Cricetulus griseus: one gene and its partner. The main gene of each other region encodes a partner of the protein of the gene in region 2 in a complex. Links are inferred from orthologs where the notes say so. Each region holds a gene or a part of one and is shown on either strand. Other genes may lie near its edges.

The links.
Region 1: the proteins of Ap2b1 (region 2) and Ldlrap1 are in contact, whole or in part, in a crystal structure (PDB 2G30), measured with the Homo sapiens proteins. The link is inferred for Cricetulus griseus from reciprocal best matches to the Homo sapiens genes AP2B1 and LDLRAP1. Residues at the interface, in NP_001273.1 of Homo sapiens: Arg834, Gln835, Phe837, Leu838, Trp841, Glu849, Gln851, Ile876, Ala877, Arg879, Val881, Glu882, Gln884, Met886, Tyr888, Glu902, Arg904, Ser915; in NP_056442.2 of Homo sapiens: Asp253, Leu255, Asp256, Ala258, Phe259, Ser260, Leu262, Ala263, Gln264, Arg266, Thr267.

Annotation. Positions count from the first base shown.
Region 1 is NC_048595.1:18,529,469-18,534,782, reverse strand, and holds part of Ldlrap1 (low density lipoprotein receptor adapter protein 1), read right to left. Parts: intron 1,113-5,314; coding exon 970-1,112; intron 1-969. UniProt on the Homo sapiens protein: Adapter protein (clathrin-associated sorting protein (CLASP)) required for efficient endocytosis of the LDL receptor (LDLR) in polarized cells such as hepatocytes and lymphocytes, but not in non-polarized cells (fibroblasts).
Region 2 is NC_048600.1:96,581,162-96,586,475, forward strand, and holds part of Ap2b1 (AP-2 complex subunit beta), read left to right. Parts: intron 1-2,216; coding exon 2,217-2,476; intron 2,477-5,162; coding exon 5,163-5,314. UniProt on the Homo sapiens protein: Component of the adaptor protein complex 2 (AP-2). Adaptor protein complexes function in protein transport via transport vesicles in different membrane traffic pathways.

The sequences.
Region 1 (5,314 bases), on a different chromosome or scaffold from region 2:
GTACCTCACTGCTCCAAGGCCCCTCAGCTCAGACAACTGGAAGATGCCAGGGGGTGGACATTAAACCAGCACCCTGTGCCGGCTACCTTTTGTCATCTGGGAAGAGGGATTCTTGATTAAGAAAGCACAGCTATCAGACTGGCCTATAGCCAAGTCTGGGGGGGTATTTCCTTGACTGGTGATTGATGTGGGAGGGCCCGGTCCCCTGGGGAGCCGGGGTGTTACCCTGTGTAGGAGGTTCTGGATATAAGAAAGCAGGCTGAGCAAGCCAAAAAGCTTCATTCCAAGGTGTCTGCTTCAGTCTCTGTCCTGACTTCCCTCAGTTTGAGACAAACAAACCCTTTCCTACCCAAGTCACTTTTGGTCAGTGTTTTTAGCACAGCAACAGAAAGCAAACCAGGACAACCCTCCTGAGACACAAATGGACAACCCACAGCCTGAGGCCTGGTGAGAGCTGGCCCTCACAGGAGGGGATCAATACCCCCTGTCCAGGAAGCTGGGGACTCCTAGGAGAAGGGACAAGCCCAGGGACATGTAGCTGGGAGATTGCCAGCACCATGACCTAGGAACCCAGCTCCACCCACATGCCAGAGCCTGAGCTACAGTTCAAGGCTACCCTAGAGAATGGACTTAAAGGGCCCACACCCACTCAGAGGTAGGGGAAGGAAACTTTGTGGACCACACAGCCAAGCAGTGAGAACATGGTAAACCGGGAATAACTTCCTTCCCTCCTTGGGGCTAGTGAGTCACCAGGAGCCTGGTGGGGACTGACGTTGGAAGTAGTCAAGGCCAGGGTGGCCTGAAGAGGCTGCTAGCTGACCCTTATGGGCAAATACAAAGGCCATCTCCAGAAATACCTGAGCTGGACACAGGAGATCACTCACGGCATACAGATCCCACCTGGGGACAAGGGCAGCTGGGGCAGGGGGAGCTGGCCCAGGCTCCTGTTCTCCTGGTCTGGACACTCACTGTGGCCACGATCCTCTTGACAGCAGCTGCTGACAGCTCCTCCCCCTTGGGCCGCTCCACCAGTGTCATGCCAAGGTACTTGAGGCTGAAAATCATGCCCTCCAGCAGAGTTTCCCGTGTGTCCGTCCAGTTCTCTGGTAACTCTAGCACAGGACAGGTCGTCTTCAGAGTGCTGAGCAGGCCTGGCTCTCACCACCCACCTCCTCAGCACACCTACAAAGGGCCCTGGGGTTACCCCCACCCTCACCTTAGCTATTACCTCCCAGCCTACCCAAACCCTGACCAGCTTCACATACACTGTCCCCTTTCTCCCTTAGGAGCACCCGCAAGCTGCCACACACTGCAGACTGCCACTTCAAAGCCCAGGAAGTCAAACCAAGTCACAGAGTCCGTCAGTCAGTCTAGAGTCAAGACTTGACTATGCCATCTCATGTGCCCAAACTCAATGCTGAAGGTGAATGGTCCCACCTCCTTACTGAGACCTCAGTCTGATTCTTTGAGATGGGGTTATCACATTATGGTGGTTTGAAAGAAAGTAACCTCCAAAGGGAGTGGCACTATTAGGAGGTGAGGTTTTGTTCAAGTAGGTATGACCTTGTTGGAGGAAATATGTCACTGTGGGGTGGGCTTTGAGGTCTCTTATGCTCAAGCTTTGCTCAGTGTGACACTCAGTCTACTTCCTGTTGCCTGCATATCAACATGTAGCAGCCACCTCTGCAGCACCATGTCTGCCTGCAGGCTGCCATGTCCCAGCATGATGATAATGAACTGAACCTCTGAACTGCAAGAGAGCCACAATAAAATGTTTTCTTTGTAAGAGGTGCTGTGGTAGCCAGGCAGTGGTGGTGCACGCCTATAATCCCAGCACTCGGGAAGCAGAGGCAAGTGGATCTCTGTGAGTTCAAGGCCAGCCTGGTCTACAGAGTGAGTTCCAGGACAGCTGAAACTACACAACAGAGAAACCCTGTCTCAAAAAAACAAACAAACAAAAAAAGTTGTCGTAGACATGGTGCCTCTTTACAGCAATAGAAACCCTAATTAAGACACACATATTACAGATAAGGAAAATGAGGCTCAAGAGTTGAAGGCATGGGACAAAAAAGCCACCACAGTAAATACAGGTAGTTACCCACCAGATGGTACGTCCCAGCCCACACCCACTTTAGATATGGGTGGCTGTGAGGACCAGCAAAGATACAGTGGCCCAAGGAGAGGGACTAAGGTTAGAGTTAAATGATTTTACTAGCTCCACTGGGCTGCAGCCATGGCCCATGGGAAGGGCCCTCCAAGATGTCCTGGCCATTACTAATGTCAGCAAGGGCAGGGGAGAGTTGGGAAGGGCCCCACCTGGTCCCTATGCAGGAAAGAGTGCTGAGGTAAAGGGGACACCAAGGGAAAATTTGGCCATCCCTCAGTTCCTCCTTGGAGCTGAGGCTAAGGGCACCCATCACACAGTAGGAAATGGGGCCAAGCTTATCTGGGAGAGCGAGGTCACTGGGGATAAGAGCACAGCCCTGTGAGGGTCTCGCCTGTCAACCCAAAGATGCCACACCCATAGGAGGTACCCATTCCACAAGTCCTGTGCCTTCCCCACCAGCTAGGATGGAAAGGCCATGATACAGCTTAGGATACTGTCAGGAAGGGGAGGAGTCCTGGGCTTAAGGGACACTACCATGTCCCTGTCCCCTCTGGATTCCCTGTTGCTTTCTTTGGCCATGCCCCAGAGCCTTGAGTTCCAGGGACTCTATCATTTCATTCACACATGGCTCATGGCTCAGGATCTGTGTTGAGTAAGACGCTGTCCCTCACTGACACTGTGAGTGAGCATGGGAGGGGCCCTGCAAGTATTACCCCTCCTCTCAGACCCAGGTAAGAGGACTCTGCTGACTGGTCACCCAGAGCCTGACACACAGTTGGCACTCAATGTTCTCTGAGTATAGAACTGTCAGCACCAGCTATGTTTGACTTGATGCCCCCTGGGCCTCCTGAGCCCCAACTGAGATGACCCTAGACAACGTCCCATCCATTAGATCCTCCAAAAGGAAGCAGAGGGTCCCCATGGTATCCCCAGTTCTGTGTCAGGCAATAAGAACACCAGAACAACTCCCTGCTCTGGAAGAAACCAAAACTCACAGCACTATATCCAGAACATGCAGAGCCGCCATACCAAACAACAATGGAGGCACAGCAGCCTTGAAGGTCTCTCATGCCTATTCTATAGCTGAGGAACTGGTTGGAGTGCCTACTTTTGCTCCTGATCGCTGGATCACACAACTTGCCATAAGGCAAACTGCCTCCAGCCTAGTCAAAGGTCGGGAAAAGGTTCTTGGGTATTTCCTAATAATCAATGCTGCTTCCCCACAACCCAAGATACCCAGCCCACCGTTCCAACCTGAGACACATCCATGCCCAATGCCTATGTCCTTGACAGACATTGCTAATAGACAGCAGTGCCTCCCTGTTTCTCAACTGTGGCCTAAGGCAGGCAATACTAATCAATCATGAATGACCTCGTCACATTATCCATCCCTGCCTGAAGGCAGGCATCCTTCCCCTATCTCTGGGTCCCACTCTCCCATTTCCTCTGGCTCAGCCCTTTCCTGGCCCCTGTCCAAAGCCACTTCCGCTCACTTCATTCCAAAGGGACAAAGCTTGCCAAGGTCACTGGTGATCTCTTTGCTGTCAAAACAGTCTCTCCTCCTTGACCTCAAATGCTTGACATTTTTCTACATTCCTCCTTCCCTGACCTGACCTTTCTCTGCAGTACTGCCAACTTCTACACTGGCTACCAAGTCCAGCTGTGAAGACCCTCTACTCAACCCTTTAGTTGATAGGTAATTCAACTAAAGCCCAGAGAGGCACAGGACCTATGCAAGATCACACAGCAAGTCAAAGTAGAGGTGCCCACAGTGATAGCTGGGGTATCTGAAAGCTCCCCCCTCCTCTCTGAACACACACACACACACACACACACACACACACACACACACACACACACCCCACAAGCTCCCACCACACAGTCAACGTCTATTTCTCAATATCCAAAATGCACTTTCCAAGCAAGGTATGGCAGTGCCTACCTGCAATCCCAGGAAGAGGCAGGGGGATTCTAAATTAGAAACTAGCCCAGATCACACCTTGAGATCATGTATAAAAAAAAAAAACCTTTAATCCCAGCACTTAGGAAGCAGAGGCAGGCAGATCTCTGTGAGTTTGAGGCCAGCCAAACTACACAGCCAGAGCTACAGTGATCTTCTACGCATCCACCCTCTCCCAGGGCACCTAATCAGAGTCAGGCAAGCTATCCCAGTGGCTAAGGGCAAGGGCCTTAGTTTGACACTCTGAATGACCCTGAGTGAGATCTCCATGAGCCTCAGTTTCATCATCTATAAATTGGGGGAAAGTAGTTTGGGGCGTTGTTTACTTGATGGAGTGCTTGCTTAGCATGTGTGACGCTCTCTGGTTTCCACCCCCAATACCGCATAAACCAGGTATGATGGAGCATGCCTATAATCCTAGCACTTGGGAAGTAGAGGCAGAAGGATCAGAAATTAAAGACTGTCCTTGGCTACACATACAGTTAGAGGCCAGCCTGGCACACACAAGACTGTCTCAGAAGAGAAAAAAATAAATAAAAATGAAATGGGGGCTGAGGTGACTCAGCAGTTAAGAACACTGGTGAGCTCACAATGCTTCTTCTAACTCCAGCTCGAGGGGAATTCATACGTCTGGGCTCTGTGGGAGCCTGCACTCAGGTTCATACATACATATGCACATTATTAAAAAATAAAAATACTTACAGAATACAGGGAGGGTATGGTGACACCTGCCCCAGATCCCAATAGGTGGATCTCTGTGGATTCGAGGACAGCCTGGTCTACATACTAAGTTCCAGGCCAGCTAGAGCCCCATAGTGGGGCTGTCTCAAAAACAGGATAAAATAGAGAAAGCATACCAGGCTCACAGGGCTGTTGGGACTGTGGGTAAGATAATGAGATACGGTGTGACAAAGGGCCAGGTCCTTTGAGGCTTGCTCAATCCTGGCCATGGCTGTGCTGCCTTGAGCAGAGCTCTACCGATTCCTCCCGCAGCAGCAGCACCCATGCCCAGCAGCTGCCTTTCTCCAAAGGACCTGTCCTCAAGCCTGCTCCCCAGGCTGCCGTGCCACAAGGGCCCCTTCCCCGAGTGCTCTCCCTGCCTTTGCCTGCCTATCCTTGCAGGCCCCTCTGTGCTTTCTGGACACGTGACTTGCTCTTCACTGAGGTTCTTCGGGGCCTCTTGTGCCCACAACTTCCCCAAGAAAGAGCATTGAGACAGACAGACAGACCAGTGTGGCCTCCTACTA
Region 2 (5,314 bases):
ATAAAATTTTAAAAAATTGTTGAAGTGCTGGGGATATAGCCCAGTCATATAACACTTGCCTAACATGCACAGGGCCGTGCATTCAAAGCAGTGGAAAAGAAAATCAGGTTACCAGTTCTGATCCATAGAAATCAAAATAATTTCTTTTTTATAGTGTAGCTAATAAGATGATCACCAGTCCATCAGAGTTAGTAATGTCTTTAATTGAATATGAGAACCAGCTGGCTTTAATACAATTGTCAGTTAAGATGTGTATCTATACAGAATCTGATTCAAATATTAACCATTTTTGTCTTTATCATCTGTTTCTAATGGTATATTTCAAATTTCAATCCCTTCTATATTACTTTGTCAAGTTTTGAGCTGTCATTTTCCTAACACTAATTTTACATCTTAAAAATTCATTTGTAAGTGCTCTTGGAAATATCGAAAATTTTTATTTTAACTTTTATTATGTGTATGAATATGTATGAAAGTAGCTTATGGAGCAGTGTGTATAATATGAAACTGGTTCCCATGCCAAAAGCATGTGTGCTGTGTTGAGATAAACACATATAGCATGTTAGTCATGGTTACTGGAGGTGGACAGTTGAGAGTGGGAAGGGATAGGATAATTGTGAGAGATTTCTGTTGCATTTTATACCCTTGTAAATCTTGGTGTGGCACAATTATAATTTGTTTTTGTTTTTCTTCCCAAGACAGGGTCTCACTATGTAGATCAGGCTGGCCTCGAACTCAGAGAAATTGCCTTCTCTGCCTCCCAGGTGCTGGGATTCAAGGCATGTGCCACTACGCTCAGCAGAGTATAAATTATTTTTAAGACATGAACATGCATAAAATTATTTTAAAACCACAACAAAAAAGAGCACTAAATTAAAGGGTTGCTCCTTTTGAAAGCACATATGTATGTTCTTTATTGGTTTATTGTTGGGTCATATGTAGTCTCTTTTTATTACTATGACTTCTTATGAGATGCATATAGATATTGGAATCCAGAAGGGAATTATGGGGCTGGAGAGTTGGCTCAGCAGTTAAGAACACTTGCTGCTCTTGCAAAGGAACTGGGTTCAATTCCCAGCATCCACATGGTGGCTCACAATGTCTGTAAGTCTAACTCCAGGGAATGTGATAACCACCTGTGGTCTCTGGAGGCTCTGCATACACGTAGTACCTATATAAACAAGTAAACATATAAGTAAAAATTTAAAAATTGAGGAAAAATGGATGTAAGGTAGAATATGTTAGAATTATTCCTGCTAATATTTATGGCCATATTTATTAATTTTTATTAATTAATGTAGAGATGAAGTCTTACTATGTATCCCTAACTGGCCCAGTTCTCAGTACATACCCCAGGCTGCCCTCAAATTCATGCACTCCTCCTGTCTCAGTGTCCTGAGTAATGGAATTAACAGGTGCATGCCTCCACATGCTGCTTATGTAACAGTTTGGTTTTGTTGAAGCTCACACATGAGGGTTAGAGAGGTGACTCAATGGTTAAGAGTACTTATTGCTCTTGTAAAGGACCTGAATTCATTTTCCAGCACCAACATGGCTGCTTACAGCCATTTGTAATTCTTGTTCCAGGGGTTCTGACGCCCTCTTCTGTCCTTTGTGGGTATTGCATGCACAAAGTGCAACAGTGTGCACTTACATATATGCAGGCAGAACACTGGTACAAGTAAAATAAACAAATCTTTTAAAAAGGTTAATGAGAGGGGAGGAGAGGCGGGGCAGGGGGAGGAGAGGCGGGGCGGGGGGAGAGCGCACATGTCACACTATGCTTGTAGAAGTCAGTTGACAACTTATGGGGATTCAGTTCTCTTTCCTCCTACCATATAGGTCTCAGAGGTTGACCTCAGGTCACAAGGCTTAGTAGCATGTGCCTTTACCCACTGGGCTAGCTCACCAGACCTTAATATAACAATTTAAAATACTACTATTATTTCCCAAGGCCATTTATCGGATTAAAGTGGCTTTTTTTCTTCCTAGCTTGCTTTTGTGTTTGAGTCTGAACATTAACTCATCTCAGTATATGTTTAAGTCCTTTGAAACATTAGACATATAGAATTATAACTGTAAACTCCCAAGTAAAGTATCATTTTAATAGCTAATCTGTGTAAGTCACTACACAGTGCCTTGACAGTAAGCCTGGCACTTTGGTGTCTCTGTGGAGACAGATCCATCTAATTGTCCTTGCCTTTGCTTTGCTTTAGGATTCTGATAATCCTGACCTTCGAGATCGGGGTTATATTTATTGGCGCCTTCTTTCAACTGACCCTGTGACAGCCAAAGAAGTAGTATTGTCTGAGAAGCCATTGATCTCTGAGGAGACAGACCTCATTGAGCCTACCCTCCTGGATGAGCTCATCTGCCACATTGGTTCTTTGGCCTCTGTGTACCATAAACCTCCAAATGCTTTTGTGGAAGGGAGTCATGGGATTCATCGCAAACACTTGCCAATTCATCATGGGAGGTAAGCAGGTGAAAGTTATTCTGTGAGAAGTAAGTTGCTGGTTAGGCAGTTTGTCTGTCTTCTGCTCTGTGCCTGGAAGGAGCTTGCTGTGCATTCTGCAGCATAGGAGTACAGTAAAACTATAGGAAATTATGGTGGACACCTTCTGTACTGATAAGGTTTGCAAGTTGCTTAAGTCTGGTCATTTATGGTCATTTATTAGATACTGGGGCTGAGGAGCAAGCTCAGTTGACAGTGAATCTGATCCCCAGAGCCCATGTGAAATAGCTAGGCATGGTAGTGAGTGCTTGTAGTTGAGCACTGGCGAGGTGGGGACAGGAAAGTTCTGGGGCTCATTGGCTAGCCAAACTAATCAGCAAGCTTCCTGGTCTCTTTCGACATGGAACACATGCAACATACACTTAACAAACACAGACAAATGCACATAAATGGAAAGAAAAATAAACAAGGCACCTGAGGAACAACACCTCAAGCTGTCCTCTGTCCTCTATTGGTTGGCAGAAAACAATATTAGATGCTATTTCTCATATGTAAATGACTTATGGTAAACTATAGATAAAATACTTCTGTAGGATTGCAATGTGTAAACAGCTTAGATTCTCTCTCTCTCTCTCTCTATATATATATATATATTATATATATATAATCTTTCAATTATATATGCCTAGTTAGTTTTGTTTCACCAAATTAGTTTAATGAGATCAGTAAGAAAAGTGTGTTTGGAGCAGACCACAGGTTACATGCAGCTCTTGCTTTCTAACTTCTCAATTTTATAATCAGAGAAGAGGAACACTAATAAACTCTTTGCTTTTGTTTCTGTTTTGTTTCTCTATGTAGCCCAGGCTGTCTTGATTTTCAGAGATTTGCCTGCCTCTGCCACAACTGCCTGGCTGGCTTTTTTTTTTTTTTTTAAGGCAGGGTTTATGTACCCAAGGTTGGCCAGAACTCATTGTGCAGCCTAGAAGCTTCTATTTTCCTCCTGCAGCTTCCCATGAAGCTGGGATTGCAGGTCTAGACAACCATATCTGGCTTTATATATAGATCCTTCTCAAAGCCCCCTTAGCTGTTTCTATTTTATTTTGTCTTTAAAGACTGATACAAGAAAAATACCTTTTGGTATAAGTGGGGATAATGACTGGGGAATATAATTCAGTGATAGAGTGCTTGCCCAGCATCTCTGAAGGCCCCTGAATTCCATTCCCATCCAAAACACAAAAAGGGGGGTGCATATATATGTGATGGATTGCTGCAAATGGCATGTCTGTAAGGTCCATCCTTAACACTTGTGACATGAAATAAAGCAACACTTGAAGGCTCCCATGGGATCATTGTCCCATTCTTCATAATTATGGGAAAGCATCCTAGTGATTCGCCCTGTTATTAGGCCTGGTGTAAAGCAGCAGCAGGTCCCCATGTTTTTTTCAGGAGGCTGTGTTGAATGATTTATACTTAAGTGCTGTAGGCGAGGCCATTCAGGATTATGATACTTCACTGCCTCCTTCTCTAAGTTAATTCCCTCCTCAGAGAAGGTATGGGGACAGGACCACACCTATGCATGGCAGTAGGAGTGTGAGACAGCAGTTATTCTTGCAGAAGCAAACAGGAAGCCAGGTGTGCCTCTCAAAAGCCTGCTCTAGTGATACACTTCTGCCAGCCAGACCCTATTCCCTGAATGCCACACAGCCTTCAGAATACTGTGGCAAGCTAGGGACTGCATATTCAAACCAAGAGCCTGTTGGAGACATTTCTGATTCAAGCCTTAACACCTGTTCCCTCTCTTCTTTTATTACTAGTCTTGGTTAATTCAGAGGTCTGTTTGAACCTTTTCTTCCTGGGTTTCTCTTTGTACTCCTTTAGGGAACTTAGGGACCATCCATAGTCACTGCTGGTACTAAAGAGTCTGCTGCACAGCATCATGCTTTTGTTGGGTCCTTGCTTTCATCAACTGGTTTGGGTGGCATTGTTTGCGTTCTCTTGATGAGGAAACTTTGTCATAGAGTTGTCACCTACAGTTGCACTATGTAAAGCCTATGCTTGATCTTAGATGTCTGGGTCTAGATCCCCTGCTCTTACCAACCACCTTCCCCTGATAAGTTACCTGAGATGTGTATATAAATTTCTTTCCAAGTTTATTCTCTAGTTCTGGCTGCCAATCACTTGTCTTTAGTTGACTGCTGGACATCTATAGTTATTTTTCTTAACACATAACAGAATTAAGCATCTTGAAGCTGTGGTTGTAGCTCGGTGGTAGAATGTGTTCTTAGCGAACAAAACCTGAGTGTCTTATTTTTTTTTTTTATCATCCTTCCAGATTCCCCTATTGGCAGCATCACTTATCTTTTCCTTAATGTTTGTTTATTGTCATTCTCCTTACCCCTCCATGTTCAGATCTTGTCAAAAGCTACTTAAGTTTTGTTTTTTTTTTAACATGTATTTATTTGTTGTGTGTACGTGTACATGTCTCACAGAGGACAACCTATGGGAGTCAATTCTCTCCTTCCACTGTGTGGATTTTGGGGATTAAACTTGATGGCAGGAACATTTACCTCCTGAGACATCTCAGCCATGTTTAATTCCTTAATTGCATTCTTAGTGTTTTGTGGTTGTACATGTGACATTTGCTTGCTGCTTTATTGTATAGGGGTGAAGATGGTTTTTCTTATTTCTCCTCTGTGTTTGATTACAGCACTGATGCAGGTGATAGCCCTGTTGGCACCACCACTGCAACCAACCTGGAACAGCCTCAGGTCATCCCCTCTCAAGGTGACCTCTTGGGGGATCTTTTAAATCTTGACCTGGGTCCCCCAGTGAACGTGCCACAAGTGTCCTCCATGCAGA